Linked DNA regions of Arabidopsis thaliana. The protein of the gene in region 1 interacts with the protein of each later gene in a pairwise test. Each region holds a gene or a part of one and is shown in the gene's direction. Other genes may lie near its edges. The genes, in order: PIP1C, PIN6 and RBL14.

What was found.
Region 2: the proteins of PIP1C (region 1) and PIN6 interact in a protein complementation assay, tested with the Arabidopsis thaliana proteins (one large-scale study listed by BioGRID).
Region 3: the proteins of PIP1C (region 1) and RBL14 interact in a protein complementation assay, tested with the Arabidopsis thaliana proteins (one large-scale study listed by BioGRID).

What each region holds. Positions count from the first base shown.
Region 1 is NC_003070.9:225,891-229,645, reverse strand, and holds the start of PIP1C (plasma membrane intrinsic protein 1C), read left to right. Parts: upstream 1-2,102; 5' UTR 2,103-2,469; coding exon 2,470-2,797; intron 2,798-2,954; coding exon 2,955-3,250; intron 3,251-3,334; coding exon 3,335-3,475; intron 3,476-3,564; coding exon 3,565-3,660; 3' UTR 3,661-3,755. Other genes in the region: AT1G01630 (Sec14p-like phosphatidylinositol transfer family protein), read right to left, coding at 1-217, 303-440. UniProt on the Arabidopsis thaliana protein: Water channel required to facilitate the transport of water across cell membrane. Its function is impaired by Hg(2+).
Region 2 is NC_003070.9:28,968,586-28,972,340, forward strand, and holds the start of PIN6 (Auxin efflux carrier family protein), read left to right. Parts: upstream 1-2,128; 5' UTR 2,129-2,269; coding exon 2,270-2,700; intron 2,701-2,965; coding exon 2,966-3,597; intron 3,598-3,755. UniProt on the Arabidopsis thaliana protein: Component of the intracellular auxin-transport pathway. Regulates auxin transport and auxin homeostasis. Directly involved in the regulation of nectar production. Involved in unfolded protein response (UPR) activation.
Region 3 is NC_003074.8:6,023,127-6,026,881, forward strand, and holds RBL14 (RHOMBOID-like protein 14), read left to right. Parts: upstream 1-1,669; 5' UTR 1,670-1,819; coding exon 1,820-2,035; exon of another isoform or gene 2,036-2,258; coding exon 2,259-3,047; 3' UTR 3,048-3,371; downstream 3,372-3,755. Other genes in the region: HYH (HY5-homolog), read left to right, coding at 845-908, 982-1,168, 1,261-1,459; AT3G17620 (F-box and associated interaction domains-containing protein), read right to left, coding at 3,372-3,755. UniProt on the Arabidopsis thaliana protein: Probable rhomboid-type serine protease that catalyzes intramembrane proteolysis. May function in the heat-shock response pathway.

The sequences.
Region 1 (3,755 bases):
TCCCAATGGCAACAGCGATAGGTCGACCCATCTTGTCATGACCTTGCATACACATCTTGTTATGCGATAGATCATTTGCAATCTCTGCTTCTGGTATGTGCCCCTTTGGGAGCATGCTTCTCTTCCAAGTCAGGTAATTTAGAAACATCGTTGAAGCCTTTTCAATGTCCAGGTCACGCGCTCTCAGAAACCTCCTTATCATCAGATCATCCACCTCCTGCAAATCCAAATCATTAGGGCTTTTATCAAATCAATACTTTTCTGGTTGAATTCTTTTTTTACTTAAAGAAATCGATAGGGACCTTAGTTTCAGGATCTTGTCGGTCGCAGAGAGCTCTCATGATCCCGACTTTGCTCCTCTCGATCTCATCTTCGATCAACGGAACGGTCTTTTGCTCAGCTGCTGCTGCTGGTTCTTGCTTGGTCTCTTTGTTTTCCATTACGTTTCTCCTGTGAGCGACGACCAGATCTTGAAATTGGTAGAGAGAAGAAAGAAGTAGGATCGATCATAAATGAAGACAGCTGCTGAGAGAAAGATTTTAAGTGTCATTCAATGCAAAGTTGGGCTGCTTTCCCCTTCAATGGCGACGCTCACCAACTACTCTCTTCCTTACAAAAATTCTACTCATTTATTGACTAATCCCAGGTCCCCGACTCTACAGGAAGAAGACGATTATATCGTATTGGGCCTTATTAGAGCCTATTGGGCTCGAGTTGATTTGTCGTAAAGACTTGGTCTGTGGTTTAATCAATCTCTCATGCCTCAAAGTGTTGACTGATTCAGAGGCCGTTTTAGTGTTTTGAGCCCACGTCAGAAGCTTGTCTGTCGTCTGTGTGTATAAAACAAAATTCAATTCACGATTTTTTAAAATATTGATCGTATCTTTTTCCACATGTATGTAAGCAATGAAGGATCTGCTTCGTTGCAAAATATTAGTTTTTCTTTTGATAGGCATGTACCAACTAAGTACCAGCTACGTACACAGACAAAGTCAGTAACAATTAAAATTCATCAACCTAGTCATTGCTTGTTCATCAATCAACCTAATCATTTGTTTGCTTGTTAAATAACAATGCCAACGTTATTATTTCTATTTCTATACTATCATACATTCATACGGTCCACGCCTCTAACAAAAAAAGATATTGATAAAATTTAAAAGATAGATAATTCGATGAAATGAATTATAATGAAATGTGATTTGTACAACTGAGAAAGGATGTCATATACGGACTTTGGTCGGGACCGCCCCAGTAAACACCACCAACACATATTTGCCTCTTCAACCACGTGTCGTGATTCTGTTGGTTGGGCAGCTAGACGACTGTGATGTGTGTGTGTGGGTTGCGTTTCGAAAAATGGCAAACCCCACCACTAGTTCAATAAAAGGTGTTTCTTAATCATATAGTTTAGCTTCGGATTATTTGTTTCCCTTTTCAGTTTTTTAAAAATCGATATCTACAATAGAGTTAATCTGTTTATAAATTCAATTATTGTTCGGGTAAGACAACATCAACAAAACTAATAGGGTTTGAATCCTAAACACTAAACTCCATTTAACTAGTAAAGTATGGCTCATATAGCGTTAAAAATATGTGAATTGATAACAACAACAGAGTTTTGAATTTTATTTTTGTTAGGTTTGAATAGATTGATAGAAAAAGGAAAGTGGGAATAGGGAAACGAACATGTGATCACAGAAAAGCAAAATCCATTTCTGAGCTGGAAACCCCCGCAAAATTGAACCTTATCTCCAATTTTCATTTTCTTTTTTTCTAAAATATATATCGTTTAATTGAAAAACCTCAAATTCACAATCATTGTGATTATTTTGTCACTAGTAGTACACATAGTAATTTAATTAAACATTTTAAAAATACTCTAGGCCCGGCACAATGTTCGAGACTATGTTACTTTACATAAAGCAATCGCTTTCCACACACTTCTTTTCCTTTTCTTCTCCAACGGTCGGAAGTAAATTATTAATTCGTCGACTAGTCAAAAAGTTAGTCCTTTGTGAGTTTTCTGGCACTGTAATATTTTTTTTTACATTTCTAACTGCTGACTGAGTAGTACTCCTGTAGCAAGGCATTTGAGAATAAATTAGGTCAAACATGCTATCTTTATAAGGAGTTTCAGAATATAATACTAATAGTTAGCCAACGCAACAGAATTAGTATAAGCGTGGGTTGTGTTACATGATTAAACATCATCAAGTAGTAGGCTATTACAATTATTAACGTAAATAAATATGCTTTTACGAAGATCATCGTTATCCATGATTCCCTGTATTTCTCATTATTTAAATATATCATAATAGTTTCGAGACGTTAGTTTTTTTTGCTTTTTCTATTCTCTCTCTCTCTCGCCTCTATAAAACCATTCTTTCTCTATCTCAGCCACTCTCATTACCCATTGTAGAAAAGAAGAAAAAAAGCAAAGAACACTTGAACGTTTTCTAGATAGAGATGGAAGGGAAAGAAGAGGATGTTCGAGTGGGAGCTAACAAGTTCCCGGAGAGGCAACCGATAGGTACATCGGCTCAGACGGACAAAGACTACAAGGAGCCACCACCAGCTCCATTTTTCGAGCCAGGCGAGCTGAGTTCGTGGTCCTTCTACAGAGCCGGAATCGCCGAGTTCATAGCCACCTTCCTGTTTCTATACATAACAGTATTGACAGTGATGGGAGTGAAGAGAGCACCAAACATGTGTGCCTCTGTTGGAATCCAAGGCATTGCTTGGGCTTTCGGTGGCATGATCTTTGCCCTTGTCTACTGTACTGCTGGAATCTCTGGTAACCCCATTTTTTTTATCTTCTTAATACAAGTAGAATTGGTCTTTTGTTGCATGCTTCAAACCCTTGTAGCTCTGCTTTTAGTTTTCGATTTTTCTCAAAGAGATCTTAATTTAGAGTTGATTCTGATGAGTGTGTGTGTGTGTGTGTTTCACAGGTGGGCACATAAACCCAGCGGTGACATTTGGTCTGTTCTTGGCTCGTAAGCTGTCATTGACGAGAGCTGTCTTTTACATCGTGATGCAATGTCTCGGAGCCATCTGCGGCGCCGGAGTTGTCAAAGGCTTCCAGCCAAATCCTTACCAAACTCTCGGCGGAGGAGCCAACACAGTCGCTCACGGCTACACTAAGGGCTCTGGTTTGGGTGCTGAGATAATCGGAACCTTCGTCCTTGTCTACACGGTCTTCTCCGCCACTGACGCCAAGAGAAGCGCTCGTGACTCCCACGTTCCGGTATAATTTTGTTTTGATTCCTCTTAATTTATTGTTTTGGGTGTTTAGAAAAAGATTCATAATTTAGGGTTATTTTTTTTGCAGATTTTGGCACCACTCCCAATCGGATTCGCTGTGTTCTTGGTTCACTTGGCGACGATTCCAATCACCGGAACAGGAATTAACCCAGCTAGGAGTCTTGGAGCTGCAATCATCTACAACAAGGACCACGCTTGGGACGACCACGTGAGTACCCCATTACATCATTTGGTTGATTTGTCTTTCTATATGTCTTTGTCACTTTGGTTTGATTGTGGTTTGATTGTGGTTTGCAGTGGATATTCTGGGTCGGACCATTCATTGGAGCAGCTCTTGCGGCTCTTTACCACCAACTTGTCATCAGAGCCATTCCATTCAAGTCCAGATCCTGATTTGATTTCTTTCTTTATAAAACTTCATTGTTGCATCTTGGTTTGTAATTGAGCTTGAAAATATTTGAGAGATCTGGATCATGTGTTTATTTTAA
Region 2 (3,755 bases), about 29 Mb from region 1:
CTCCAATGACTAGACCAGACACATTTTTAGTTCTTGCCCCCTTTTCTCAGACCATTTTCTCACTCACTTTCCAATTTTTCCCTTTTTAAAAAAAATCCTAAAATTTATAGTGTGTAATATAGAATTTTGAAATGAAACCATCATTTTTCGCACTTGAATTTGATTTGATTTTCTAACCTACCAATAATCTCACTTCTATTCATATTTTTTCCCCTTTCCTCGATCCCATGCGCTTCCTCTTAGTCTTCATTCTCATCATCATACCTTCTTTTTTCCATCTTTTTCCTCAGTTTTTTGTTCTTTTTTAGATAAATATTTCCAAAATATTAGTGAAGACCTCGTTAATAATGTTTAAACCATAGTGTTTTCATATGTATATGCGTGTGTATACTTTGGTGGTAACGTAAAGAGACGAGGTGACATAACATTACGATATAGAATGATAAAGACAGCTTCGCTAGTCGTCGAGAAACAAACAAACTTGCTTATCCTGAATTGTTTTAGTCAGATTCATGTGTGTACTAATATATACAGACAATATAGGTTACATGAGGCTTTGATGCCATTACCCATCGGGGAAAATAATCATAACTATAAGTGATTATATATATTATCCTACATAACTCTTGTCTGCACATTTTGGTTAGAAAGTAGGGTTACTTAATATTTATCTTAGGTTAGATATATAGGACGGAATCAATAATCCCAAACTTTTTTGTAGCCTTTCGTTGACAAAGTAAATTATTTATTTTATAAGAAAAAGGTTACGTATGACTTAGTTCTTGCAATTGCCAAAAGGCTAAAGGCTAAAGGCTTTTAAGCTTGAGAGTAAAAGGCTAACACTGTAAGTCTCCACCCATTTCGCCGATATCATTGATCTTAGATTCTATGAGGATCTCCTTTCACTTTCTTTATGTATATATGTACAATTTCTGTATATCTATGTGAATAAATTAAGAACAAGGTAATCATGTCTCTGTGGACCCTTTGCTTAATTGTGACATATGTATTGTTAGTACAAGAAGCTCATTACATTCCTTTTATATGGTCAGAAGTTCCAAACATTTTCTAGTTTCAGATATGTTAGCTTTCCATATTTTAAGAAAATTAGTAAACCTGACTCTACTTCATTATTGATTGTTTTAATTTGTTTTTTGAATAATTGATAACTGGTTCTTTTATATGTTAAAAGACGAATTTCATGATATTGTTCTTGAGCATAGCGAGACGAGGTATATAATGGTGGGAAGATACATCAAAAGAGTTGCATGAGACAAAAACAAAATGGAAATTGTCATGTCATTAATGACTGACCAATTTCCGTAGCTTTAACTAGAAAGCTTCAAATTTGAAGTATATACTTTATCTTCATTTTTCGTGCATGTATTTCTAGTAGATTTTGAATTGAATAGTCATATAGCTTTTCGTCATAAAACACACCAGAAATAAGAAGTTTAATAATCAATAAAAGAAAACAAAAGAGTTAGGGGGATAATTTGGGTGAAAGCCTATTTCGACAAGACACCAAGTGTGATAGTTTTGGATAAACAGATATTTTTTATCCGAGTTTGCTGCAACTGTATGCAAAAAGTGTAAAATACTGCAAAAGTAGATATACACTTGCTAAAAGTGAAAATACTGTAAAAGTAAAAATAAGAGAAAAGAAAACAAAAGAGTTAGGTCAATAATAAGGGTGCAAAGCTCACTTAAGCAAAACACAGAATTTTCAATTTTGGGTAAACAAAGTGTACTTTTTTCTTGAATTACGAAATTTTGTTTATTATATAGATTTCTGAAATAAGAGACTTATGCGTGTACATATTGAGAATGATTATACGGGTTACAAAGCAAATCTATTGCATGAAGTTATTCTAAATATTCTATTAAAATCTTTTTCCCGGTTTGGATTAGATTTTCAATAATTTAATTATGAAGTTGAATTAAAAAAAAAAAAGAGTAACAAATCAACTTATTAATTAATTTTAAAATTGTGATGAGTCTATTTAATGAGAATTTTAGAGATTAAAATAATGATGAGGTCCAGAAAAAGAAAGTGCTTTATATATAGATTTCCAACTATATATGTATAGCAGCAGTATTTTACCAATCTATATAATAATCACTAATCCCTCCCTAATGCAATTTCATAACGAAGCTAACTAAGGGGTAATCTCGTCAACAAGTCTCTATATAACCCAACACACAAACATTTGGCACATAACTTAACCTACATAGTACATACCAAGAAGAAGAAGAGGCAAAGAAAAAGATGATAACGGGAAACGAATTCTACACGGTGATGTGTGCCATGGCACCACTCTACTTCGCCATGTTCGTGGCTTATGGATCGGTAAAGTGGTGCAAGATCTTCACGCCGGCGCAATGTTCCGGAATCAACCGTTTTGTCTCCGTTTTCGCCGTCCCAGTCCTCTCTTTCCACTTCATCTCACAAAACAACCCTTACAAAATGGACACAATGTTCATCCTCGCCGACACTTTGTCCAAAATCTTCGTCTTCGTTTTGCTCTCTCTATGGGCCGTTTTCTTCAAAGCCGGTGGTCTCGATTGGCTCATCACTCTATTCTCAATCGCTACTCTCCCTAACACTCTCGTTATGGGCATACCTTTGCTTCAGGCCATGTATGGAGATTACACTCAAACCCTCATGGTCCAACTCGTTGTTCTTCAATGCATCATTTGGTACGTTATCAAATTACTATCCGTTCTTTATTCATTTACCCTGTGATTGATTAGAAAACCTCATAATAATGGAATTATTTTGTGATTTCACATATTTTTACCACACATTTTTTCATGGATTTTGTAACCAAAACTTAAATGAATTTCGTTACTCTAGGATATAATTCAACCAAATCAAATGTTTTTACTAACCCAAGCTTCTTATTAGTTGAATTATTTAATTATAACGTATGATAATATAAGCTAAGTGTATATACATGTATAGGTATACTCTGCTACTATTCCTCTTTGAACTCCGAGCAGCGAGGTTGCTTATCCGAGCAGAGTTTCCGGGTCAAGCAGCCGGATCAATCGCCAAGATCCAAGTCGACGATGACGTCATTTCCTTAGACGGCATGGATCCGCTCCGTACAGAAACTGAAACCGATGTTAACGGTCGGATCAGGCTCAGGATCCGACGGTCCGTATCATCCGTACCTGATTCTGTTATGTCCTCCTCCTTGTGCTTAACCCCTAGAGCCTCTAATCTTTCTAACGCCGAGATTTTCTCCGTCAACACTCCTAATAACCGTTTCTTCCACGGCGGAGGAGGAAGCGGTACCCTTCAGTTTTATAACGGTAGTAACGAGATCATGTTTTGTAACGGAGATTTAGGCGGGTTCGGATTTACTCGACCCGGATTAGGTGCAAGTCCTAGAAGGCTCTCGGGTTATGCTTCCTCCGATGCTTACTCGTTGCAGCCAACACCACGTGCCTCGAACTTTAACGAGCTTGACGTTAACGGAAACGGTACGCCGGTTTGGATGAAATCTCCTGCCGCCGGGAGAATATACCGGCAATCTTCGCCGAAGATGATGTGGGAGTCTGGGCAAAGACATGCAGCCAAAGATATCAATGGTACGTTTTCTTTGAAAGATGTGTCGTTTTCGTTTTTCGTTAGCACTGACACGACGGCGTTTAGTCAATTTTCTTCTCTTTTCGTGTTTTTCTTTATCATTGGTTCTTTTAAAAGATTTAATGAATAGAAAAACATTGATAGACTACATAAAATGCAG
Region 3 (3,755 bases), on another chromosome or scaffold:
AAAAACTGTTAGATGCCAGGCAGACGACGATTCAACCGGCCAAGTTTTGTTTCCGCGCGCGCGCATAAGTCCACTATCTAATATGCAACCATTACGGTAGAAGTTTACTTGGTCCATTTTCATTGATAACAACAAAAAATCGTAAAACTTTAAAATTATGATGAAAAACGTAAAAAAGAACATGGGAAAATATATGGCGGAATCACAAAGCATGAAAAAATGCTTCGGAATGATTGACTGAATTTACAATTGGTAGAATTTAATTTTAAGAGATAACATTTAAAAATTCAAAACATTAGTTAGCTGTCTTTATACAAAAGAGTTATTTGTGTACCAAAAAATAGAAAACGAGATATATGACCACATGATGAGTTTATGCATGCCTATTACGCCATGCAAATAGATACACACACACATAGTTGTGCCTCTGACTTTGTCTGCAAGTACGTTTGTATGGTTCTAGACAGTAATTATTGTCCTAAACCCACACGCTCTGTGAATACTCACTAAAGGTTGTTTTCCGTAGAAATCATGAACAAAGACTTTAAAAGCAAAACAGAACAATAAATCAATTAATAAGTTCAACGGGATATAGTGGAAAAGAAAACACAGATACACACCATTGGATTGAAACAGTTGCATTTGTGGTCTTACATAAACCTACGTGTTCTTTTATAAGCCAACCAATACTTTTCTCTTTTTTTTTGTTTGAAACGAGTTGCAGACTTTGAGTGGCCCCAAAGAAGAAAGAAAAGATGCAATTTCCTTTGGTTTGATATTCTCTTCAACCTCTTACCTCTCTATTCTCGTCTTTAGCAAAATCTCAAAAGACAAAAAGATATTGATGTCTCTCCAACGACCCAATGGGAACTCGAGTTCGTCTTCTTCCCACAAGAAGCACAAAACTGGTAGGTGTTGAAAGAAACTTATCTAATATTTAACTTAATTTGGTTTAGAGAAATTGGTTTGTATAATTCTCAGAGGAAAGTGATGAGGAGTTGTTGATGGTTCCTGACATGGAAGCAGCTGGATCAACATGTGTTCTAAGCAGCAGCGCCGACGATGGAGTCAACAATCCGGAGCTTGACCAGACTCAAAATGGAGTCTCTACAGCTAAACGCCGCCGTGGAAGAAACCCTGTTGATAAAGAATATAGAAGCCTCAAGAGGTAATCAATGATGAGTAAAAAAACTTTTTTTTCTTAGCATTCGATTTGTGGAATTGAAATGGTAAAAAAGAAACTGTGGTGAAAAATTACAGATTATTGAGGAACAGAGTATCAGCGCAACAAGCAAGAGAGAGGAAGAAAGTGTATGTGAGTGATTTGGAATCAAGAGCTAATGAGTTACAGAACAACAATGACCAGCTCGAAGAGAAGATTTCTACTTTGACGAACGAGAACACAATGCTTCGTAAAATGCTTATTAACACAAGGCCTAAAACTGATGACAATCACTAAATATTTACCCTTTAATCCATTGTTCAGTGTTGTATGATTATCTTTCTTTCTTTTTTGGTTTTGGTTTGTATACACTTTTTGTTCGAATAACATTCACTTTGAGCATCATTGTCATTCAGATTTGCAAAATAAAGTAAAAAAAAACGAAAAAAGGCAAGAAGAGATTAGGTATAAAAACTAGAGTTCTAAAATGCCGTGGTGGGTCCCACATGTTCTTATGCGAGTGAAACGAAGAAGTCTCTGGAGAATTTGTTTTCGTAGAGACCAAGCTGCTGCTATATAAATATTGTGAAAGAGATGAGATTTTAATTACTTGTAAGTGATTCAGAGAGATCAGAAGAAAAGAATAATTACGAAGAAATGGAGAATTTTGGTGAAGGGAGAAGAAGTGGAGGCGGAATGTTGCCGTTGCTGGCTCTAAGCGCCGTCGCGGAGTACTATAGACTACCGTGGAAACCACCGGTGACGGCGAGTCTCCTGGCCGCGAACACTCTCGTTTATCTCAGGCCGGCGTTTATCGATCCCGTTATTCCTCACATCAGTGAGGTCTGGTTCAATCCTCACCTCATCTTCAAGGTAAACCAATCTTAATAAATTCCTTCATTCGCCAAGAGAAATTGATTGCAATTTGACCGATTTCGATCTGAAATTCGAATTTGAGTTTCCTGGGAAATTTGTACCAATATCTGGAGAATTAGGGATTTTGTTCTTCGATATCTAATTAGATCATTCTTGATTGATTAATTCTATTCTCTGTTAAAGTTTTTTTTTTTAATCTTGATGTGTATTTGTTGAACAGCATAAGGACTTGAAGCGTTTATTTCTATCAGCGTTCTACCATGTTAACGAGCCTCACTTAGTCTATAACATGATGTCACTTCTCTGGAAAGGTATCAAGCTTGAGACATCAATGGGAAGCAGTGAGTTTGCTTCAATGGTCTTTACTCTTATTGGTATGTCTCAAGGAGTCACATTGTTGTTAGCCAAATCGCTTCTTCTCTTGTTTGACTATGACAGAGCTTACTACAACGAGTATGCGGTTGGGTTCTCGGGTGTTCTCTTTGCTATGAAAGTTGTTCTTAATTCTCAAGCTGAGGATTACTCAAGTGTGTATGGTATCTTGGTTCCAACAAAGTATGCTGCTTGGGCAGAATTGATTCTAGTGCAGATGTTTGTACCTAACGCTTCGTTTCTTGGGCATTTGGGTGGAATCCTTGCTGGTATTATCTATTTGAAGCTGAAAGGTTCTTACTCAGGCTCAGATCCAGTCACTATGGCGGTTAGAGGTGTATCTCGATTGGTGACGTGGCCCTTGAGGTTTCTGAATGGTATGGTTAGGTCTCGGAGAAGGAGGATTACGGGGAGAGGAAGAGTGGGAAGAGGTCAGACTGGGATAGCAGGACCTGGTATTTGGAGATGTCAGTCGTGTACATATGACAATTCTGGTTGGTTAAGTGCTTGCGAGATGTGTGGCTCGGGACGGGCTAGAGGAAATGGATGGTCACTGAATCAGGGACCAGCACTTTCTTCTTCTAATGATCTCCCTTTAGATGAGCTGCGCCGTCGAAGAGTAGAGAGGTTTAGTTGATCTCGGGAGCGCATTCTTAAAGCTGAGGAAGGATTGTGAATGAAGCTTTGTTGAATCATTCATTGCATTAGCTTATGAATAGCAGAGTTAGTGGTCGTGTTTTTCGATCTGTTTCTTCAATTTGTCTTCTCTTTTGTTGTTGAAGATTTGGTTCTACGTGAACTGGTCCTTTGATTAGATTGCTGAAAGTAGCGAGTGATTCAGATAATATAGTATCTTCACACCAAACTTACAGTTTCACAGACTTTCGATTTTAACAAAATTTTATCCTATTTCAAACCAAATTTTGTTGAAAGAAGAAGATCACAAAGCAAGATATAAATGTTAATCAGTAATCAATTTCCCTTTTTTCTTCCTTTTGCCTCCTTGCTTGATTTGCGCTGAGCTTGGAACATACGAGCACACAAGTGGATCTCGAATTTTATCAGTAGTTTTTCCGAGATCCACTTCTTTGTAATATCCATCCTCTCCAATGATGTAAGCTGTGTTGTGAGTGGGATACATTACATCTTTGTCTTTAGCAAAGACTACAACAACTTTCTTCTCTTCGTCAATGATGAAACTCGCATCTGCAATTCCAAACTTAAAATCAGTGAGTGGTTGCATATCCACTGCTAAGAACAACTTGCTCCACATCACCTCTTCAGGTTCAATCTTAGTCGTAACCCAAATCTCCATATGTAAGTTGTCCTTACGCTGAAATAACAC